Linked DNA regions of Schizosaccharomyces pombe. Changing the gene in region 2 together with the main gene of any one other region gives a genetic interaction. Each region holds a gene or a part of one and is shown on either strand. Other genes may lie near its edges.

Region 1 (3,793 bases), on a different chromosome or scaffold from region 2:
TCCTTGCTTAGCTTTGCTACTGAACAACTCTCTATAATTAGCGGACCAACATTGGGAGCATTGTTGAATGCTAGGTAAGATTCCTACTTTATCGTCTTCTTTTGTTATTTTATTAACACGTTGTGTACAGTTTTGGAAATGCCATCGAGCTCATTGTAGGCGTTCTTGCTTTGAAAAGAGGAGAGCTCCGCATCGTTCAATCGTCCCTTCTCGGATCAATATTATCCAACTTGCTTCTTGTTTTTGGAATGTGTCTCGTAACTACTGGTATTCGTCGTGAAATTACCACATTTAATATCACTGTTGCACAAACTATGATTGCAATGCTTGCTTTATCTACTGCTACCATATTGATTCCTGCGACTTTCCATTACAGCCTTCCCGACAACGCTAATAGCGAAAATGCGCTTCTCCATGTCTCTCGTGGAACTGCTGTTATTGTACTCATCGTCTATGTTTTACTTTTAGTTTTCCAATTAAAGACTCATAAGCATGTCTGTCATGATCCCAGTGAAGTGGAAGAAGAAACTGAACCTCGAATTTTAGGCCTTCGTTCATCCATTGCCATGCTTGCTATCGTCACGGTTTTTGTTTCTCTTTGCGCAGACTATTTAGTAGGTTCGATAGACCAATTGGTTGAGGAAGTTAACATTTCAAAAACTTTCGTTGGTTTGGTCATCCTTCCTGTTGTAGGAAATGCTGCCGAACATGTTACTGCAATCGTGGTATCTTACCGAGGACAAATGGATTTGGCTTTGGGTGTTGCTATTGGTTCCAGTATTCAGATTGCTTTGTTTTTAGCTCCCTTCTTGGTAATCGTCGGATGGATCATCTCCCAACCTTTAACACTTTACTTTGAATCATTGGAAACAGTTATTCTATTTGTGTCTGTTTTCTTGGTTAATTACTTGATACAAGATGGTGCTACTCATTGGCTTGAAGGTGTTCAATTACTTGCTTTGTATGCGATTGTTGTTCTCGCCTTTTTCTACTACCCTCAATAAATTTTGTCGTTCCCTCGCTAGTTCCTTATTATGTCTACTCTTATGTGCTTGATATACTCTCTTGATTTCTTTGTGTTTTACTTTACGAAACTATCATACCGAACTTATTGATTTCTTATTTTTTTATACTAGATTTTTTTTTTTTTTGGTTTCTGTTACAAGGATATTTTGCAGACTTATTTTTTAGTATGCAAGTGTTAAATTATGCAGAAATCTCCCATTTTCGCAATGACTACACAACTCTAAATTTCTATTGCAGGTCAAGCCAATATCTGCTTGTTTACAGTAGCTTTTTAAGTCGCTCATTCTTCAGTCTCAGTTTCATGTGTCTTACCAGCTATGAAAATAGAAAATTAATTTTTGAATAAACTCTTGTAAATCGTTGTTTATAAATCTTCATTTTGTTTATTTTTATTAGTTGTTTTGTAGGTTGTGTTTTACATGATTTAATAATACAAGCCATTAGTATGTGAAGTGGTTAATTTTAATTCTTCTTCTGTTTCTGTATATTCGAAGAAACAGAAAAAACTTCTTATCTCTTTCATTGGACTCTTCCAGGCGTAAGTATGATACCCTCCCCCAGCGTCAAGTTGGCACTTACCTTCTAATTTACGCACAATCTTTCATACATTCCTACTCTTGCTCTTTGAGTGTTGACACTTTTAATTTTATACAAAAGCTTTCAGTACACCTTCTATTAAACTATATACTGGCTATTTTCGTTCTTTCAATAGAATTGTACTTGTCTAAATAAACTTTCCAATACTACTACACTCACATCTCCTTCTTTGTTTTATTTATTTTCATTTAGTGGAAGGTATAGGGTTCTCTAGAAAAGGTTTACTAATTTTTTGGAAGACATTGACTACAAATGGAACCATTAGATGCTGGCAAGAACTGGGTGCATATGGATGTCATTGAGCAGTCCAAGGAAAACATAGAGCCTAGAAAAGCTGGTCATTCAGCTTCTGCACTTGCAAAATCTTCGTCGCGAAACCACACCGAAAAAGAAGTTGCTGGTCTGCAAAAAGAAAGGATGGGCCATGAACGAAAAATAGAGACGAGCGAGTCTCTTGATGATCCACTACAAGTTTGGATCGATTATATTAAATGGACCTTGGATAATTTCCCTCAAGGTGAAACAAAAACTAGTGGACTGGTAACATTGTTAGAAAGGTGTACTCGAGAATTCGTACGAAATCCGCTTTATAAAGATGATGTTCGGTATTTACGAATATGGATGCAATATGTAAACTATATAGACGAACCGGTTGAATTATTTTCTTTCTTGGCACATCATCATATTGGACAGGAGTCCTCGATTTTTTATGAGGAATACGCAAATTATTTCGAGTCTAGGGGATTGTTTCAAAAAGCTGACGAAGTTTATCAGAAAGGAAAAAGAATGAAGGCTAAGCCATTTTTGAGATTTCAGCAAAAGTATCAGCAATTTACTCACCGTTGGTTGGAATTTGCCCCACAATCATTCTCTTCAAATACAAATTCGGTTAATCCTTTACAAACGACATTTGAGTCAACAAATATCCAGGAAATATCCCAGTCTAGGACTAAAATTTCTAAACCTAAATTTAAATTTTCTGTTTATTCAGATGCGGATGGTTCTGGAAAGGATGGCCAACCTGGGACCTGGCAAACTCTTGGTACAGTTGATCAAAGGCGTAAAGAAAACAACATATCGGCTACTTCTTGGGTAGGCGAAAAGTTGCCTTTGAAATCTCCAAGAAAATTGGACCCTCTTGGGAAATTTCAAGTTCATTGTGATGAGGAAGTATCGAAAGAATAACCGATAAAGAAAAGATTTAAAGTATTGGCGTTATTAGATTAACAACTATTGTACATCATGACTCCCGGAATAAGAAATAGGTTGAAACATGCGAATTTTAAGGGTTATACGAACTTAACATAAAGCATCTTATTTATACTACGATTTGCAGCTTTTTTTTATATTTTACTCTCAAATTAATTATAGTCAGCCATAAGTTAATGAATATGATATAAATAATTCTTTTATAGACAATTTATCAAAATAATAAACAGATAGCTCGATAAGTAATTACACCTCTATACAAGTAAAGCTAAGACCCCTTAGCTATAAATATTTTAACTAATGAGAAGGCCCCTCAAAAACCACAGAAGCAGCTTTGCCCAAACGATTCATGATAGCTAGCCCTTCATTTTCCTCGGAGACACCTTCAACCAAAACAAAATCAACTCCCTGCAGATCCAAATCTCGCAATTGAGCGAATAAATTCTTTGTAATTTCATGTCCATCCCTTCCCATATGCAAAAATACAAACGGACAGTGAGAAGGGAATGACTCTTCGTTCCAACGTTTACTACATAAAACACCAATCTTCTGCTTTTCCTTAGTGATTCCCTGCTCAGATAAATACTTTTCAAAAACACCGTATGCATCAGATTCTGTGTAATTGACAAAAAGTAGCACTTTGGCAGTTGGAGAGTAGTGTCTGTATTTCATACCAGGAGTTTGAGGGATGAAATCTGTTTCCATATCACTTTTTTTAGCTACGAATACTTTTGTTCGCTCCCAGGCCCCTCCAGAGCTTTGAATTTCTTCTAAACTTATGCCTCCTGGCCGTAAAATTACGGGAGGATCACAAAGTCCATTTACAACTGTACTCTCCACACCAACACCGCATGCTCCCCCATCTAAAATTAAAGGAATTTTACCTTGTAAATCATTGTAAACGTGCTTAGCTAACGTAGGAGATGGCCTTGTTGAAGCATTAGCCGATGGTGCAGCTAAC
Region 2 (5,522 bases):
AATGGAAGGTACTGGTGTTAATAAGAATGCTTCTACTGGCCGCTATTTCTCTGAAAACGATGCTGTCCGTGTTGCCCAAGGTGTCTCTGGTTTGGTCGTCGACAAGGGCTCGCTTCTTCGCTTTTTACCTTATCTCTACACTGGTTTGCAACACGCTCTTCAAGATATTGGTACCAAATCTCTTGATGAGCTTCATGAAGCTGTCGACAAGCATGAAGTTCGCTTCGAGTTACGTTCGAGCGCTGCCATCCGTGAAGGTGATATCCAAGGTTTTGCTACATACGAAAAGCGTCTTTACTAGTCGTGTATAAGGATATTTAGGAAAAATTTAATTAAAGTTAATAAATTGCATTTATAGTACTTATTTTTTTTTCAAGTCAATTGTGTTTTGCTTAGGTAGAAAAAAACAAAATTATGTACATTGGAGGTGGCAGACATATATGTACGCTTGTATTTGATAGTGCATTACGAACGAATTGTGCAAGTTTACTAAGAGAATTTTAGGGTTTATAAATATATAATCTAATAAGTTATTAATTCATTAAAAATTCATATCATCAAGCTTATCCGTTTTTTTTTTTTAAATATACCCAACAGGATATTTAGAGGATTCGTATTTGAATATACGGACCTTTAGGTGGCTTTCTCTTCTTCGTTTTCAGCCATGCTTAAAGATTTCCTAATAATGTTAGCTGGATTTGAAAGATGAAGAGTAGTCAATGAACTGAGGCTTTGTCGAGTCTTCGGTTTAGAAAAATCAAAGTTGTGAATAGCTTCATTGTTGAGGATGAATGTTGGTGAGTCCATATTGGCTCTGGAAAAATTCAAATCAGGAACTTTTGGGACTGGACTACCATCCAGATCAATAGTGTCCAGATGAGGTAAAGAAACATCGTCAGTTGACGAGTCCTCGGCCAGCAGTTGATCAAGCTGTGTGGATTCACTATTAACTTCTTGCTTTTTCTCCAAAGGACTTTTTATCAAAAGTCCAGGTTCTGGTTTATCTTCCAACATCGGGGAGACAGGCGAAGTAAGATTAATTTCAACATCTATCTGATTCTTATTTTCAGGCCGTTTATGTGCAGGAGTTGAAGGCATATGCATAGTATTAAAGAAGTTCATGTTCTTTAACTTAGAGGTTTGAATGGGTGAGTTATACGCGGAGGCACCTGAGTCAGACGTAGACATTGAATCGTCGAAACGAACCCTCTTTTTTGGAGAACGTTTTGAAAATACAACTGGTTTTTTTGGAGACTTCACGAAAAACATTCGAGGCAAGTTATTATTAAGCAAGGGTTGAGTGGGAAAACTATGAACTCTATCACGATTGATAGTTCGTGAATCATCGGATGTTGAGTTGAGCTTATAACTTTCTGATAAGACAGATATATTAGGTTTCTCGCCAAGACCAATGCCCAACAACCACTTTTCCAGTATCGAGAATAGCTCTTGCATACCTCCCTCTTTTAGCAATGAACTAGCTTTGAAAGAACTTCTAAGAAGGGATTCTAAAACAGGAGTGAACTCATCAACTTTATTCTGAGCATCTAGAACCTGATTCTCAATAATTGATTTTAGCAAGTCAACTTCATCCTGTAACACATCAGCGTACATGGTAGCACCTTCTTGTTTGTATGTGTTGATAATGTGAGAAACACTTCTCTGAAACTTTTGGTATACAAGTTCAGGATCTATATCAGCAATGATCTCTGCACGACGAGTTAACAATGATTCTAACTTTGAACGAACTAAAAATACTCGTTCATCTGCGGAATTCGGAAGTATTCGCTCATAGCAGGATAACCAGTACTTAAGTACGCGAATTGAATCATCAAAATGTTTCACCTTTTCTACCTTATTAATAGTATCATTTTGCAGTGGTAAAGTCTCCTCAAATGTCATACGCAATAAATTTCTGGCTTCTGCAAGCTTCGATTCATGAGCAAAAGATTGAGTTACAGCGTCCTGATCAGAACCATTTGATTGCGATGACAAATCGATCTGTGCGAGACGATTCTCCAACTCTGAAATTTGCTCACGTAACTCAACGATTGCTTTTACATATTGGCTTACATGTCGATCTACACTGATCATGTTCCTTAACACTTCGGTTTTGATATTCTTTGCTCGATTAGCATATTTTAGAGTATTGTGAGTTTCTTCGTAATGAACAGAAGACGGAGATACGCAAACAATCATAACTGTCCGACAATTTCCGCCTAAACTAAACTTAAGTAAGCGAGTAAGTTTAGAATCACGATAGGGGACATGCGCACGGCGATGGGGATCACAAAGGGCATTGATACAATTTCCTAGGGCTAAAAGAGATTTATTAATATTAGCACCTTCAAAAAGACGACTACCTCTTAATTTGGTAGCTGTTGCACGTTCTGAGCCAGCCAAGTCAATAATTGATAAAGTGGCCAAAGTGTGGTCCTCATTGATGCCAGCTGTACGAGGTTTTTGGATCAACGTAACCTGCAATACAGCATGCGAACGAGATGAAGCAGCGTTAGCTTCTGTCGGAGACATAGTACGATTAGCATTTCCCTTCATGATAATATCAATGATTTCTTCCAAAGATTCTGGAGACAAAGAAGTAAGACCTGGTACAGTAATGCGACGGTCTGCATCTTCCCGTAAATTTAATGGCTTTGCTTGATTTGGGGTCGGTGATACTAATAAATCACGAATAGTTTCATTATAAATTTCCAAATAGGAAAGGCGAAGGTCAAAAATTTTTTCATCTCTTAAATGATCCATTCTCTCAAAAAGTTCTTTTAGTGTCAAATATATTAAACCAGGATCTTGCATTGTTCCACTAATGGTGTGAGTTTTACCACATCCAGTTGCTCCATATGCAAAGATAGTAGCATTGAATCCATCCAAAATATTGTCTAATAACGGCCTGGCAGTTCTCTCATACACCTGTTGCTGAGTAGCAGTTTCATCAAAAACCCTATCAAAAGCATAACGAAGATCACGGCCAAATCCCGCAGAATTGTTTGACTTTCTAGATAATCTAGCGAGACTCTGTTGAGAAGTAGAAAGTCTGCGGTTTGTGGCACTCAAAGTAGCCGTTGTTTCATCCGGGGGATCAAATACCAAGACACGTCCATCAAGTACCTTTACTACTCGTCGAATTTGACGTCCTGAACCAGGGTTCCTTAAGGAAGAAGATGTTCCAAATGATAAACGATCTGAGGATGCAATTAAATTTGCAGATTCAGCTGTACTAAATGGGCGAACACGGACTATTTTATGTTAGCAAAAAGATATGAATTTAAAAAACATCACATTAAAGACTAACCTGTAACGGTAATGGACGACTGTCTTGACATTGAAAAGCAAAATTTCCATGCAAGCAATCATCCAAAACAGATGAAAAGAAGGGCACTCGCAAACAACAATTCCAATAACCTTCTTGAATAAAAGCAATTTATATCGAAGATCACTATTAAAATAGATGTAACAGTAGAAAAGAGCGAGAAACGCGTTTTTTGAGTGCGCTTCAATGTTGACTGTTTGGCATTTGCCAAGTTACATTTCTTAGTCAAGTAACGCACTTTGTTTTGAATGGTTGTTATGGCAATAAAAGATGTAAACAATTACATTATTTACATATTTTGACAATAAACACAAATACAGGTAGTTACGATTAAAATCGAGTTGAAATACTGTTTTACCTTTTCATTTTCACTAGTTGTGTATAATGCTATCTCAGTATCATAGATGCTTTTACAGTATTTTTATTATTATAAAAGGCAACTAAATTCGATGATTGAACTGAATCGCTATCGTTTGGTTTGTAACTTATAATGTACACATGCCTGGCAAGATTCTTGCTTTGCTTTACTTTTATCACACTTTAATAAATCGTCCGACAAATTTAAATCATTTTCACCTATAATTGCAATAGAACATCAAATAAGTGTATATATTCTTCTAGCACTTCTATAAACACCACAACTGCTGCACTAGCTACTTTATTGCCAATTAACTGATGGCCTAAATATCTGATTAGTTTGAAAGCAGAGGACTAGTGAGCGCTATAAACAAAATTATATTCTATATTTTATATTGGGTATTCCTATATTCGTTAGGTACTAAATACTGAGTTTTACTTCACCTTTTAGTCGATATCGTTGAGACTTTTACCAATAGCAACTATAATGAATTAGGGGTTTTTCGTGCTATAACATTACCGCTCAATTTCTTTCAAACCACCAAGCGTCAAATTAGAACTACCTACTAAGCATTCGAATATGCAATAAAATTTCACCTTTGCCATAACCATAAATTTTACTATTGTTGGATAAGTCTTATTATTGCTAAGTAATTGATTACCTTAAGTTCATTTATCAAATAACAAAGCTCTACGTTTCAAATTTCAAAAAAAAAAACTTAACCTACTCATTGAGTTGTTTCAAATAAAAAAAAAGCAATTGGATTCTCTTCTGTTGGAAAGCACCCTTCATACAGCAATATTGGTATTTAAGGCATTGAATTTAAATATATTACTATGGCATTTCGTGATTCAACTCGCGATTTCAACAGAAGTAGACCTGAAAAAAGGCATGCTTCGAGATCTTCTTCACCTCGTTCATTTCGACCTTCAAATCAAAATGCAAGAGCAAATTATAATTTAGTAAGTAGGAAAATGTTAGTTGTTTTTGAATTAACCTTCCCTTTAGCCGAGAGTGAGAGATGCTATGAAAGAGGAAGAGCGAAGTAGGGAAACGAAAGAAATGCAAGAACGGGAATTTTTGCGTTTACAGCAGCTTCGAAGAGCTATTATTCGACTTAAGAATGATCGTTCTAAGCCTATAGATAAACTTCTTGTCAGCGTTTACTTGATGCCAGGCCCAGAATGGGAAGAGAATGGAGAAAAAAATTCAATTGATTTTGGAACAGTTGACATGTTTGATCCACTCTCTGTTATTCAAGTAAGGGACTTATTTTATTTTTACTTTATAACAGATTAATCATTAACATACTTAGAGTTATAAAGCAGAAGATTTGGAGGAGATATCTAGAAATATTGGTGATATTCAGCAGCTGGAAACGAACCAATGTAGACTAACTTATTGGAAGGTATGGATTATTTTTTATGCTTTAAGTGCTAAATTATACATTATAGTACGTTAAAATGCTAGTGAATTCTCGAATGGAACATAACAAAGTTGGGCAATTTTCAAGAGGGTTAAAGGTCGTAGCAGGTGAAGTACAAAGGATTTTAGCCCCTAAATCTTTTGAACAATTAGAACAGCTTGAGGCACAAATTCAAAAAAAATTGAAGAGCAATGTCCCTCTCGATACAGATTATTGGGTTGATTTACTAAACTCTTTAAAATCTTACAAGGCCATTGCTTATTTAAAAAAGACTTTTAATGAAGAATTACAAATTCGAAAAAATAAACTTGATAATGAAGAATGGGACAAAGCTTTTTCCGATGCCAAAAAACTGTCAAATATGAAGGATCGTGAAGAGAAGTTATATATTGTCCCTATAGACCCGAAGC

What was found.
Region 1: of klp5 (region 2) and mad3, a mutation in one rescues a mutant of the other (synthetic rescue), as found in Schizosaccharomyces pombe (one study listed by BioGRID).

The regions. Positions count from the first base shown.
Region 1 is NC_003421.2:995,813-999,605, forward strand, and holds mad3 (mitotic spindle checkpoint protein Mad3), read left to right. Parts: upstream 1-1,603; 5' UTR 1,604-1,875; coding exon 1,876-2,808; 3' UTR 2,809-3,027; downstream 3,028-3,793. Other genes in the region: vcx1 (CaCA proton/calcium exchanger), read left to right, coding at 1-74, 131-1,004; SUA5/yciO/yrdC family protein Sua5, read right to left, coding at 3,130-3,793. UniProt on the Schizosaccharomyces pombe protein: Component of the spindle assembly checkpoint which is a feedback control that prevents cells with incompletely assembled spindles from leaving mitosis.
Region 2 is NC_003423.3:1,708,581-1,714,102, forward strand, and holds klp5 (kinesin-8 family plus-end directed microtubule motor Klp5), read right to left. Parts: upstream 3,538-5,522; 5' UTR 3,342-3,537; coding exon 3,311-3,341; exon of another isoform or gene 3,255-3,310; coding exon 634-3,254; 3' UTR 501-633; downstream 1-500. Other genes in the region: IMP dehydrogenase Gua1, read left to right, coding at 1-301; cay1 (cactin), read left to right, coding at 4,523-4,648, 4,695-4,946, 5,002-5,094, 5,141-5,522. UniProt on the Schizosaccharomyces pombe protein: Has a role in establishing metaphase during mitosis. Required for chromosome segregation where it generates tension during kinetochore capturing.